Oryctolagus cuniculus: one gene and its partners. The protein of the gene in region 3 interacts with the protein of the main gene of each other region in a biochemical or structural test. Links are inferred from orthologs where the notes say so. Each region holds a gene or a part of one and is shown on either strand. Other genes may lie near its edges.

Region 1 (3,615 bases), on a different chromosome or scaffold from region 3:
TGTTTCCAGGAGCTCCCCTCGCTGTCTCAGGTCTTTCTCTTTTGACCTTTGTGAGGGGTCCCCAGCATGCCTGGTGCTCCCACTATACAGACAGGGAAGCTGAGGCCCAGGGCAGCTAAGGATTAGATCATATTCACACAGCACATGAGCGGCAGAAGTGGGCCTGGAACTCACCTCTCCCACCACCCTCTCCGCTACCATAGGTGGGAGAGGGACCGTGGCCCGGGCAGTCCGACAGGGGAGGTGGTCACGCTGGCCAGAGAGCGCCAATGTGGCAGAAGCACAGACGCATCCCACTCAGGGCCCCGGCCAGCTATGTGACACAATGAAAGTCAACTGATTTCGTAATGGAATGGGTAGGAGTTAGACATCAGGAAGGACTTCCCGGCTAAGGAAGCACAGGGCAAAGCACCCTCTTCTACCGCCCACCTATAATCAGAGGACTCAGCCCAGCTGGAGGAGGGCCTGGCTGGGCTGCCCCGGCCTCACCTGCAGGAAGGAGAGACTGGCATTGGCAGGCAGGTAGGTGAGTTCCAGGTTCCCCTGCACCACCTGACAGCCCTGGTAGAGGTAGCGAAGCATGTCCAGGTGGGTCTCGGGACTGGCCGGGAACCGCAGCTTCATGTCTGTGCCGGTGCACACTGCGGGAGGGGGCACACAGGTCAGAGGATGCTGCCCTCCACACCCGCCCCAAGACGGGGAGGCAGCGCGGCTGTGAAAGCCCGTCTCCCACTTCCTGGCCCCCCTGCAGCGTCATGTCGGGAACAAGAGGCAAATCTGGGGAGAGGCTCCCTTCTGGCTGGGTCCGCCCTGGGCACCCAGAGGGGCCCTGTGTGCCGGCCCCAGGGGGCTTGCCCACCAAGAAGGGCAAAGAAAGCTTCCCTTTGTCCCACAGGCACCAAGCAGGGCCGGGGGGTACAAAACCCCCAAGAGGCGATGATGAATCATGAAACCTCTGGGTACCCCCTGCCCCTTTCCCAAGTCAACAAACCCAGGGCATTCTCCCTAGGCCGTTCTCACACACCCACACTGTCAACCTCCTGGCCAGCGCCAGCCGCCCCCACAGTGCCACCCAGCAAGTGGGGAAGGAGGGGCGGCGGGTGTCATAGCTGGGACATGGGGCAGCCCGGGCCCTGGGCGCTGCAGAGACCTCTAGAACTCCCCACCTCCCCACCCCACCCCCGGCAAAGAGAAGGCGCCTCAGACACCAGTATGGGCATCCGGACCCCAGCAGAAGATCCTGGGCCAGGGCGAGGCACGCTCTGCAGGTACCTACGTTGGCACCCTCGCCCTTGCCACCTCCTCAGGGCAGGGCTCCAGAACCAGCTGGCAGAATCTGTGCCATGAAACTCCTGCCACGGGGGCACAGCGTCAGCTCTGTGTACCTGCCCGGGCCAACCAAGATGCACCGTCGCACCTGACCCCTCCTGGGCCTTAGCATGGGGGTTCCTGAGACCAGAAGGAGCCACTCAGCCCAGGGAATCGATGGGAGGGGTGACCCTCCCCTGGTGAGGGGCACTCTGGGAGCAGCATGCCCCATGTCTGCCAGCGGCGGGGGTGGGGGGAGACGAAAGTGCCCAGTTGAACTTGTTTTTCTGCTCCGGTGAGAACATGAATCACCTGGCGCGTCCTGCCCAGGAGCGTGGAGGGAGGCGGGCGGAGGGCACCGTCAGTTACACAGGCTCGCAGGTGCCTGAGCGGCCCAGAATTCCTGCCGGTCTCTACTGCGCCTCCCAGGGACCAGAGCAGTGGGTTTGGGGGTCTGGCGCCAGGGGCTCTCCTCTCCCAGCCACCTGCAGCTTAAGGTCAAGTCTTAGGGGGCGAGAAGATACCCACCCCCCCACCCCTGCCCCAAAGAGCCGGGGAAAGGCTGGCGGGGCAAGCCGGGAATCCCTCGGTGGCCTCCCAGTAACGCCCAGGCTGCTCTCTGGTCCTCCCCGCTGGGCAGATAGGATCTCTCTCCCCCGGACACCAGGACAGGGGACTGCCAGGTCTCCCCACCCTTTGCCATTGCACCCCTCCCTTGCCCCAACCCTTCCCCCCAAAGACTCCCAAGAGAAACAGGAGCCGGGGGTGGGCGGCCAGGCCCAAAATAACGCCCGCTGCCGGGACCTCCCCCCGCCAGCAGCTTCAGCTGCTGCATAGACACAGCTGTCTCCAGGCCCAGATCCCAGCTCTGGCCCAAGCTGGGGACAGGGACTGACAGGGCTGGGGCAGGGGCCCTCCCCATGTGGCGGTCCACTCCTTGTGGCTCTCCACCACCTGCAAGGGACACTAGCCAGGGCAGCCAGGCAACGAGTCAGCCACCACCATGGAAGCGCCACCTTGACCGGGCTGGGCACCTACTGTGCGCCCAGCAGGCACTTGGCAATCCTCACGACATGCTGGGGGCCGGGACTGCCACCCTGCACAGAGGAAACAGGCTGGCAGTGACACTGCCCCATGAGCGACAGGGGCGGGATTATACGTAGGTCCTTCCGCTGCACACACGGTGTCAACAGTCACTCTCCTGATGCCACCGAGAACAGGCTCTAAGGCAGCGCAGGGGGCTGGGCAGCAGGGTCAGGGAGAGTGGCAGCCACGCCCCGCTAGCCAGTCTGTTTACCTGACTTGCTTGCGGCTGAACCGAGACTAAGACTCTCAAGGGTTTGCCGGCAGGTGGTAGAATTGGTACCCAGGGCCCGGGAGCCTTGCAGGCTACACCCCTGCCAAGCTGTTCAGAAGGCCCACCTGGTGCCTCCCCTGCCTCCATCTCCATCCTACGGGCCCCTTCCCCAGGCCCTTCGGTGACCCCCATACCCAGCCTTGCATGGTGGAAGGTTCTAATGCCCACCAGGGACGCTGGCCCCTGAGCAGCCCCAAGCTCAGGGGCCAAGAGTGAGACAGGACCAGCCCAGAGCCAGCACAGGGCCCACAGAACAGAACTTGTGCCTGCTGAGTGCATACACCCAGTCTAGTCTGCCTCGGGAGGCAAAGGGGCCAGGTGCGGTCTCGGTGCCCATTCCTCCGTGCAGAGCGGGGCGCACTCCCTCCTGTCCCTCCTGCGGGACACTGGTGGTCAGGGTTTGGCCCCAGTCCCGGGCTCTTTGATGGGTTCTCTCCTCTCCCCCAGCCTTTAGCCCAAGCTGCTTCTTTGTTCACAGCATGAAAGCTAAGGCTTCCTTTGGTTTCCATGAGTACCACCAGGGAACTCCCTTCATCCCCAGACCCCTGCGGCCACAGCCATGCCAGGGCTCACCCCTACACACACCTGCACGGTTTAGGCTGTTTTTAGACCAGAACCCTAGCGCAGCCACTCTCTCCGTGACCTTGTGAGGCCTTGCACCTGCAGGGCAGAAGCTCCCTGGGATTCATCTCCACACCTGTGATTTCCTTGGCACCCAGCGACTATTTCCTGGCCTAAACTGGGTCCTAACGACTCTTACTCCCTCCAAGCAGGTACAAGAGAGTTAAACGAGAGCTTGAATCCAGAGGCAGTCTGTAAACATGGCAAGTCTTTGTAAACAGAGCTGGGGCAACACAAACATTAGCTGTAATAATTCTCCCACTCCTTCAGAGCACACACATCCCTCGCCCCTACCTCGCCTCTCTTCCCAAGGGTGAGGAGGGGAGGGG
Region 2 (4,349 bases), about 2.0 Mb from region 3:
AATCCAACTCACACAGTTCAATTATAGAACGCATATTCTAACTTATACCATGAGAGCTGGATGCAAATTTCAGCATCATCCCCGCTTTCCAGGCATAATGTTCTCCAGTTTCATTCATTGAGATCTCCGGTGTCAGGTTGTATGAGCATGGAGAAACTGTTAAATTACTCCATACCTCTCCTCCCTTTTTTATAAATTTGTAATGGTAATAATGATAATACATCTCATAGCATTGGTGTGAGACGTAAATGACAGATACACACAAAGCACTTAGAACAGTGCCCGGTACATAGCAAATATGAAATGTGTACTAACATTCTTCTTTCAACAAACATTTCTGGATGCACTTTCACATACAAACAACTGTGCCAGGGGCTAGGCAGTGGCTGTGATCATTCTATTTGCTTTCTCCACACTTTGTACAATGCTTACCATATCATGTTTTCTTAATAGATAGCTGCTTAAAAGATATCACCCAAAGTCCATCTATGGATAAAACCAAAATGTCCTGGTGTTCTGATTTCCACTCCAGTCCTGGAGTTAGTTTAGATGTCACAGTAGGAAAGCTTTTGGGAACTACAAGCACCTAGATCAACATCCTGGAATACAATGGACCATTAAACACACAAGGTCAGGTCAAGGCTAGAACTGTATGCTTGCTTCTCACCTCTTAGCCCCTGTATGTGAAGAGGATGAGGAAGTCCTGCATGGAAAAAGGAAAAAATCTTTTTTGGGTTTATCAAGTTTAACAAATGTACCACCATAGTAGGAGGTATGGATAACAGAAGAGGCTCTGTCTGTGTGGGGCAGAGGGTTTTAGGAAACCTCTGCCTTCTGCTACATTTGCTGTCAACCTAAACCTGCTCTAAAAATAAAATCTTCTAAGAAAAATTTCCTTGGTGGGAGCTGGGAAGGGGACATGTGAATTTTTAGGCTTTTATGATTTTGACTGGGAATTGGAAGTTGAGCTGAGCAGAGATGGAAAGGAGAGTGTTGCTGATTTTACAAGAATCAAACCTTGGTTGGGTAAATCTGTCATGACTGACCTGTCCCATTTGCAAAGTGTTTCCGTCTGGGTTTTATTGGGGTTTCACAAAAGGGTGCATATTTGAAGAGAAAGACTGAAAAAATTTTGTATACATTTCAGAAGATGGAACACAAGTGAAGGAGCAGCAGCCAATTGAGCAGACACGCCTTCTGGGGCTGGGCCATTTCTCCCTCACCAACTACCTCCAGAGCCGCTGTAAGCTGTATGAGAAATACCTTGAGCTGGACTGACCAGTGTAACTGACTTGACCATTCAAATAAGCATGGAGACAGAAAATCCAACCGCTAGGACAATCCATCATTCCTTACAGTCACACACAAGCATGCCAAAAACCTAAGTCACAAATGAGGTACAACAAGGGAAGCTTGGCTCTCCCTGTGATCACTCTAAGTGGTCCAGTGTGGCCTTCTGAGCCCTGTGTTCAGTTGTCCCTTTTCTAGATCCCACAAGTAAGAACTCTGATTTTGTTGATTCTGCAAGAGAGTGAGGCCATGGAAAGGCCTCTTTACCTGGGAGACTGGCACGAGGTAGATCCCACACACGGCTTCCCTGCATCCCTCATAGATCCCGGGGCTTTTCCTGCCAAAGTCTATGATGGATCTGTGGTCTTGAAAACCCCAAAAACACCCTGGGCCTCAGGGTTTCCCCCTGCCCCTTTCTCTAATGCCTCCTCTATTCCAGGTTGCCTCCCAAAGTCTAACTTAAGTCGCAGGGGTGTAGGCAGGAGATCCTTCTCCTCCTCATGCCAACAGCCTAATGTCTATTTTCTTGTTTGGCATTTTTTTTTTTTAATCTCAAGCCCTGAAACTACTAAGCAGAAAAAAATAGTTTGCCTTGAGAGGCAGACAAGCCCAGCTCCAAAGTTTCAGCTGCCATCTGGCTCTACTGCTGAAGCCACTCTGACCCTGAGGGCTTTCAATTTGCATTTCCCACATACTGTAACCAGCCTTGGGTTCAGAAATCCCAATATTACCCCCTTCTGTTGCTTTGGAAGCTTCTCTTCCAAGAAAGTAGCCACCAGTATGACCACACTGAGGCCACTGTTTTTGTTCTCAACCAAAGGCCTGGGGTTTTCACTTCTTACCCTTTCTTCTCACTGTAGCCCTTGCTTTTTGTTGGGCCAGATTCTGGTTTGTGTGCTTGTATATGTAAGCATTCAGACAAATCATATCCTAGGGATCTGTCCCCCAAAGCCTGGGTCTTGCCGAAGGGTAGTCATGCAAAATCAACCCGCTTGGATAGGACCCCGGTGAGAACCTCTTGTGATGAGAGGCTGGTTTTGAGTGTGACAGATGCCTTTGGCTAGGAGCTCCTGGTTTCCTTGGAAACTAGGGTTGATGAGGTTAAGGCAGGGAACCCAAGGGCCCAGGAACTCATAATGGTCCTTCCTCCTTAAAGAGGCAGTCAAAACTCACAGCCAGTCCCTAAGGAAGAGGCAGCTGACCCACAGTCCCCAGCCCCTATGCCTTCTCTCCATCCACAAGGCTATGCTGGTCCCCAGCAGCTAGCTGTGGGACTCAAACCCCTAAACAGAAGAACACTCACCCGCTACGTAGCTCAGTCCAAAAGCCAGGGACAGGACCAGCAGGAGGCTCCAGGAGAAGTACCCCTTGGTATCCATCAGCCAGCGAGGAGAGGGAAGGGGGCCTGGCCGGGAGCCCGGCGGCCGCTCGCAGGCACGGCAGCAGAAGCGGGCTGCGTGTCAGCAGTGCTGCCTCTGCTGTCTAGTTTACACATCAGCAGCCAGCAGGTTCCTGAACTAGCTTCCTGTCTCACTTGGGACTTTTTCTGCCTGTGTCTCGAGGATTGCTCATCTCTCTTCAGGCCTGAAGTCACTTTTTGTTCTCAAGAAACACGTACGAGTCAGGCACTTACATTACTGGAGCCGGGAAAAGGGTTGTGTAGTCATCCCGGCCAAACCCCCGAGTGGGGTTGAAATGGGCTCCCTTCCTACTCTCCTTCGCTGTCTCCAGGAAATGGATGTCATGACTTCTCTGAGCAGTTCCCTCTGACAACTCTTCTAAGAGTGCAAAGAAAAGAGGGAGTTTCGTCAAGCCAAGCCTCAAATGTGCCAGCTCCAAGCTCAACTTAGATGACTGAATTTTATTGAACTGATAGAACTCTTCCTATGCATTTGCCCTATAATCTCAGAGAACACTTCTGCCTGCACTCCAGCCCTGGTGCCACAGGCACAGAGAGGTGGGGTGGGGGGTGGGGGTGTGGATTTCTTGGCAGAAATCCAGTTTCCCTGTGGATACAATGTGCTGGAATATAGTGAGCCCTGTGCCATGCTTTGGGGAGTTACCTTTATTTTGGAATGTGTGGCTTTTCATTGAAGAGAAATGGCTAGAATTGGTGGAGGAGACCCTGTGCTGTTCTGAGTTGAGCTATGAGAATAGAACACGGGAAGACGCTGTTACCACCAGTGCTCTCAAGGAGGCTTTGGAAGGCCAGGTCAGCATAATTGGAACCCACCTTAAAGGTCAAAGACACTCTCCTATTGGCCTCTCCAAGGGGATCAGGGTGATAAGAATTGGTTATATGTGGGAACTTGCTCTTTATTCTCACCGTTCCCCTTCCTTCTTCACCCAGTAGCCAACCATGGTTCCCACAGCACGACACTCTATCTTGCGATAGAGCCAGTACAGATCAACTCATGAAAGCCAATTATTATATTTTCAGGAAACTGTGAGCTGATTGATAAACACGGCCATTATTAAGATACATGTATTTACACAAACTTACACTGAATAAATTATGTTTAAAATGGAGGGAATAAAACCCTCTAATTACTCAATACTTACTAATTATTTTATGAAGTTACTATTGTTAAAGCTAGTGTCTCTTTGTGGTGGAAGTAAGTTACTAGGTCATGGATGCTGCTGCGACTCTCTTCCCAGCTCTTCATTCAACGACATCATGTTGGGAGCCTGGAATCAGACATGGGGATTTATACCATGGAAATCAGTAAACAATATAAGCCGGAGCTTTCATTTATTATAATACTGTCTAGATGTGAAAAGTGACAGGGAAACATGTGCCGTGACTATAGCCCTTATGTTGAAGATGATGTAAAAAAAAAAAAAAACAGGGAAAATATTTTCTTAGTATTCAAAAACTGTCATCTGATTTGTCAGTGTCACTAATGAACAAGTGATGTTCCAACACATTTCTTTATTGTCTCACATTTCTTTAACTTAAAAAAGGACATTTTGGAGCCTGTGCCATGTCACACTAGGTTAATCCTCTGTCATATGGGTGCCTGTTCTAGTCCTGGTTGCTCCTCTTCCAGTCCAGCTCT
Region 3 (4,310 bases):
TTATAATGTATTTTAATAGTTGGTAGAGCTAGTTCTCTCCTCTCTTTTTAAAAAATCTAAACATTTCTTCAGGTTCTACCATGATACACTTCACTATCCTTTCTATAAATTAAAAATATTCGGATGGTGGTGTTTTTCTTTTTCTTACTGGAAACATATTGAACTTACAGACTAATTTATGATGAACTGATATGGTTTTCAACTGAGTCCCTCCACATTGGCAAAGGGACCCAAATTCTTTGGTCTGACTCCCAGCCACTCTGATATGGGATGTGTGGGTCTCGTAATAGCTGTGTCAAACACTTGCCTCTTATAATTTAACTTTATAAATAGAAGCCCTTACTGAATTTCCTTAAAGTTTTTGGCAGTTTCTTTTCAGTAGCATCTTAGATTTTATAGATATAAAATCACCACAATGTCAAAGAATAATTTTGTACCTTTCTTTTACCTTTTTACATTTTTTTATTTACCCCATGTGCTAATTACACTTGTTAGGATTTCCTGGTACATGCTACATGGTAGTACTGTGATGGGCAGCATTGACTCAGTGACGCCCTTAGCAGGAATTCTTCTAGTGCTGCACCTGATCTGTGGTTAAGGGAGTATCTGTAGAACCCTGTATTGTTAGAAGTTTGTAAATGCATGCCCATGTCTGTATGTGTGTTTAATTGCATTTTGTAACTTTTAATCTATTAATGTATAATTACACTAATATTTTTCCTAACATGAAGTCATCCATTATTTCTTGAATCGTACCATACTTGAATACAGTGTTTTTTTTCTCCTCAATGAGTAACCAACTTCTGTTAGTTTATGTAAAGTTCATTTTAAAGGAATGTGTGTGTGTGTGTGTGTGTGTGTTTCCTCTTTTGTGTTTGTGTCTTCTTTGGAGAAAATGTTTGACCTCTGTACACAGAATTTGGAGAAGAGAAGTAAAAGGAAGATAAACCACTGAAGCTAAGAAGATGTGAATATGTAATTCTCATAAAAGGAACTACCAATGCTTAAGAAATATAAGGAAGTATTCTCAATACCACTTGTAACTTGATAATAGAAACTGACAATACCTTAAGTCTATCTTTCTCATATTTGTATCCTCAGTACCATTTTAAGAAAGATATATTCCTTCATATTTTACATGGGATCTTCAAAAAGTTCATAGAAATGCATATTATGAAAAAACTATGCATGTATTTCAATTTTTGATGCCAAAATAAACTCATCTTTTAATTGCATATTTCATGAACTTTTTGACTTTCTCTCTCATTGGCAATAACAACCACTTTTGTCCTCATAGATTCCCAATTCTGAGAAGTACAGAAGTTCATTTACAGAGTGAAAAGATTCTTTACATGGCCTGACAGGGGTCAGACTTCTGAACCTTCTCATGGGCCCATATGCCCACTTCCTTTTAAAATGCCACTTTAGGAAAGAACCTTTCTAAGTCAGTTTGACAAGTGCCCATCACCCTTAATATCTGGTCACTCTTGATATCTAACCAGGTTTCTCATCCTCTGCCATCCCCCAGGTGATGTCTGATCAGCCTGGCTTGTCTTCAGCAAGACAAGCTGACTGGTTTGGCCAGAATCCCCCTCACCTCTATGTTTTCCCCTATAGTTTCCTATTCTCTCACCCTCGCTTTGTTCCTTAATTATCAGCTCCCACAAATCCATGCATATACTGAGTTGAATTCAATTTCTCTCCCCTACTGCAAGTCCTTATTGTAGTGAATCCTATACCTGTCACAATGGTTCCACAAAAGAGTCTCCCTCACCATGCTTTACCAAATGTCAGCAAGTAACTTCTCATCTTTGACAAGAGACACTGAGTTCTAATTCCTATAGTAGATAGAATAAAAGTTTTGGTGATCTCTACAAAATATTTTGTAACCTTTGACCTGTTAACTAATGCAAGGTGATGTATCTTGGGGTTGCACTGTAAACTGGGCAAATACACAGTTTCTTTCAGCAGAGCAGTTCTTATACGCTAGCCTGGAATTTCACATTTAACTCAGACTCTGGAATGGCTGATGACTTTTAACCCAAACAAGGCATTTGAGAAATCTAGATCTGTTTTTTCACTTTTAGAGGGGACTGCTTCTGTTGGCCTTGATAGACCACAGGAAGGATGAAAGGAAATTATGTAAATTGAGGCCCTTTACAAATCTAACACAATGTGAAATGTCATTAGTATCATTAGTATTTCTAAGGACTGCAAGGAGATGCAGCACGATATAGCACAGTCAGTCTTTGTGATTAGAATTTCATAAAGAGCCCTACATGTTTTCCATATTAAATAAACAGACTTCCGGAGGAGAGGAACTTTCTGCTATTTCTACCTTTTCTCCACTCCTCATACCTCCCATGCTTCCTGCAATCCTCCCCTTCGCCCACATCCACAGCCCTGCTTCTGCTACTGCAGAGATTACAAAGGTGGCATTCACACCAGGGGCAAAAGGGCATATGGGAGAACATGCACGTCCTGTCCCAGCAAAGTCAGAGAGAAGCCCAATTCCTTCACTATGTGGCTGCCATGATGACTTTGAATATATAGTTTCAAATGTGTGGAAACTGAGGCTACTCACGAGACACAGAGGCACAGGGCTCCTGGTATAGACTCGCTGTCTCTCAACAAGAAGTTGCCATCCACCCCTTCCTGGAGCAACAAGGTTTCACAGTCCTGCTTGGTCAGAGGGCCATGGTAGTAAGACAGATCCATGGAGAGCCCTGTTGTATTTTAGGCTGTCCCGCTAGCTTGACATCCAACTCCAAGTCAAGGAATGGCTCTGAGAAGGGAAGGGAAGGCTGCTGACTTGAAAGGGCCTGTGGAAATATCTCTTCCTCTAGTGGTGTGGGAGTGGTGTGAGGTTGCTCTGTGGGACTCACCCAGTTTTATCAGATCAGGAAATGAGAAGGGCGGAAGTGATGAAGTGACCAAGACCCTTCAGGCTATAAACGGCTTTGATGTGACTCAGAGAAGTGAATGAGAGTACCTTTGGGGTCACAATGGATTTAGTGATGGTCCTCACTGGGGCTACAATGGAAAAGGCAACTCCCAGGAAACTTACTGCAACCTCATGTATTGCCAGATATCCCTAGTCTTTACCTTCTATGGCTACTGGTATTTTTTCCAGGGAGCACACCTTGTTCATTTTAATGACTACGTATTTCTGCTGATGTTGCCTCTAGTTAGTCAATGCTAAGCTCAGAAAGGGTGCTCAAAAAATGTTTGTGAGGCCAGCGCCGCGGCTCAATAGGCTAGTCCTCTGCCTGTGGCACCGGCACAGTGGGTTCTAGTCCTGGTCGGGGCGCCGGGTAAGTACCGGTTACTCTTCTTCCAGTCCAGCTCTCTGCTGTGCCCCGGGAGTGCAGTGGAGGATGGCCCAAGTGCTTAGGCCCTGCACCCGCATGGGAGACCAGGAGAAGCACCTGGCTCCTGGCTTCGGATCAGCGCAACGCGCCAGCCACAGCAGCCATTGGAGGGTGAACCAATGGAAAAGGAAGACCTTTCTCTCTGTCTCTCTCTCTCACTGTCCACTCTGCCTGTCAAAAAAATTTAAAAAATGTTTGTGATGATTTTTAACAGCCCTTGTCTCAACTGTTGAGGAACAGTGTTGTTTTTTTTTTCCCCACACTATTTGTTGACCTATTTACTTAGTGTTGGGTATAAAGTTAACAGATCTTTGTAAAAATTAAGAGTGGGAATAAGAGAGGGAGGAGGAAGAAGGGTGGAAATGTGGGCAGAAGGGAGGGTAGGATGGGAAGCGTCACTATGTTCCTGAATAAATATATATGAAATACATGAAATTTGTAATACAATTTTTTGTAAATACAATTTTTTTAAAGAAAAAAGTGTTTGGATGCTGAAGAGTTGATACACCTAGACACACTGTTAGCAAAATGGTGCAGTCTTAGATGTGGCGTGATCTACACCCCGGACACAATCCTAGGCTCTAGCCCCCACTGCCATTGCTGGAAGCCAGGTGACCAGATGGCCCAACCACAGGTGTCAGCTCCACTCCCACCCTAATGGGATTACTTGCTCCTACTTTCCTGCCCCATGACAAAGGTTTAACAGGACCTGTTTTCCACACATGTGTACTCTCTCTTACTTTCTTGCCCTCTCCCCCGGGCCCATTGGGCTTCCTCCACCCAACAATAAACCTTTCCTCTAACTCTGGTGTTTGGTGTGTTTTGTGGTGGCCTTATAACAATGGGCCAATTGAAAAAGACTTCCACAGGTCAAACGACATGAGAAATGGAAGACATCAATGAGAACAGAAGCTATTGGACACCACTGGAGGACAGCCT

The links.
Region 1: the proteins of SH2D1B (region 3) and ERBB2 form a complex in vitro, tested with the Homo sapiens proteins (2 studies listed by BioGRID and IntAct, with this or other methods). The link is inferred for Oryctolagus cuniculus from reciprocal best matches to the Homo sapiens genes SH2D1B and ERBB2.
Region 2: the proteins of SH2D1B (region 3) and SLAMF1 interact in a test that uses a peptide from one of them, tested with the Homo sapiens proteins (2 studies listed by BioGRID). The link is inferred for Oryctolagus cuniculus from reciprocal best matches to the Homo sapiens genes SH2D1B and SLAMF1.

What each region holds. Positions count from the first base shown.
Region 1 is NC_091448.1:22,688,302-22,691,916, forward strand, and holds part of ERBB2 (receptor tyrosine-protein kinase erbB-2), read right to left. Parts: intron 642-3,615; coding exon 490-641; intron 1-489. UniProt on the Homo sapiens protein: Protein tyrosine kinase that is part of several cell surface receptor complexes, but that apparently needs a coreceptor for ligand binding. Essential component of a neuregulin-receptor complex, although neuregulins do not interact with it alone.
Region 2 is NC_091438.1:38,255,995-38,260,343, reverse strand, and holds the start of SLAMF1 (signaling lymphocytic activation molecule), read right to left. Parts: upstream 2,813-4,349; 5' UTR 2,670-2,812; coding exon 2,594-2,669; intron 1-2,593.
Region 3 is NC_091438.1:36,298,488-36,302,797, reverse strand, and holds the start of SH2D1B (SH2 domain-containing protein 1B), read right to left. Parts: upstream 2,866-4,310; 5' UTR 2,719-2,865; coding exon 2,585-2,718; intron 1-2,584. UniProt on the Homo sapiens protein: Cytoplasmic adapter regulating receptors of the signaling lymphocytic activation molecule (SLAM) family such as CD84, SLAMF1, LY9 and CD244. In SLAM signaling seems to cooperate with SH2D1A/SAP.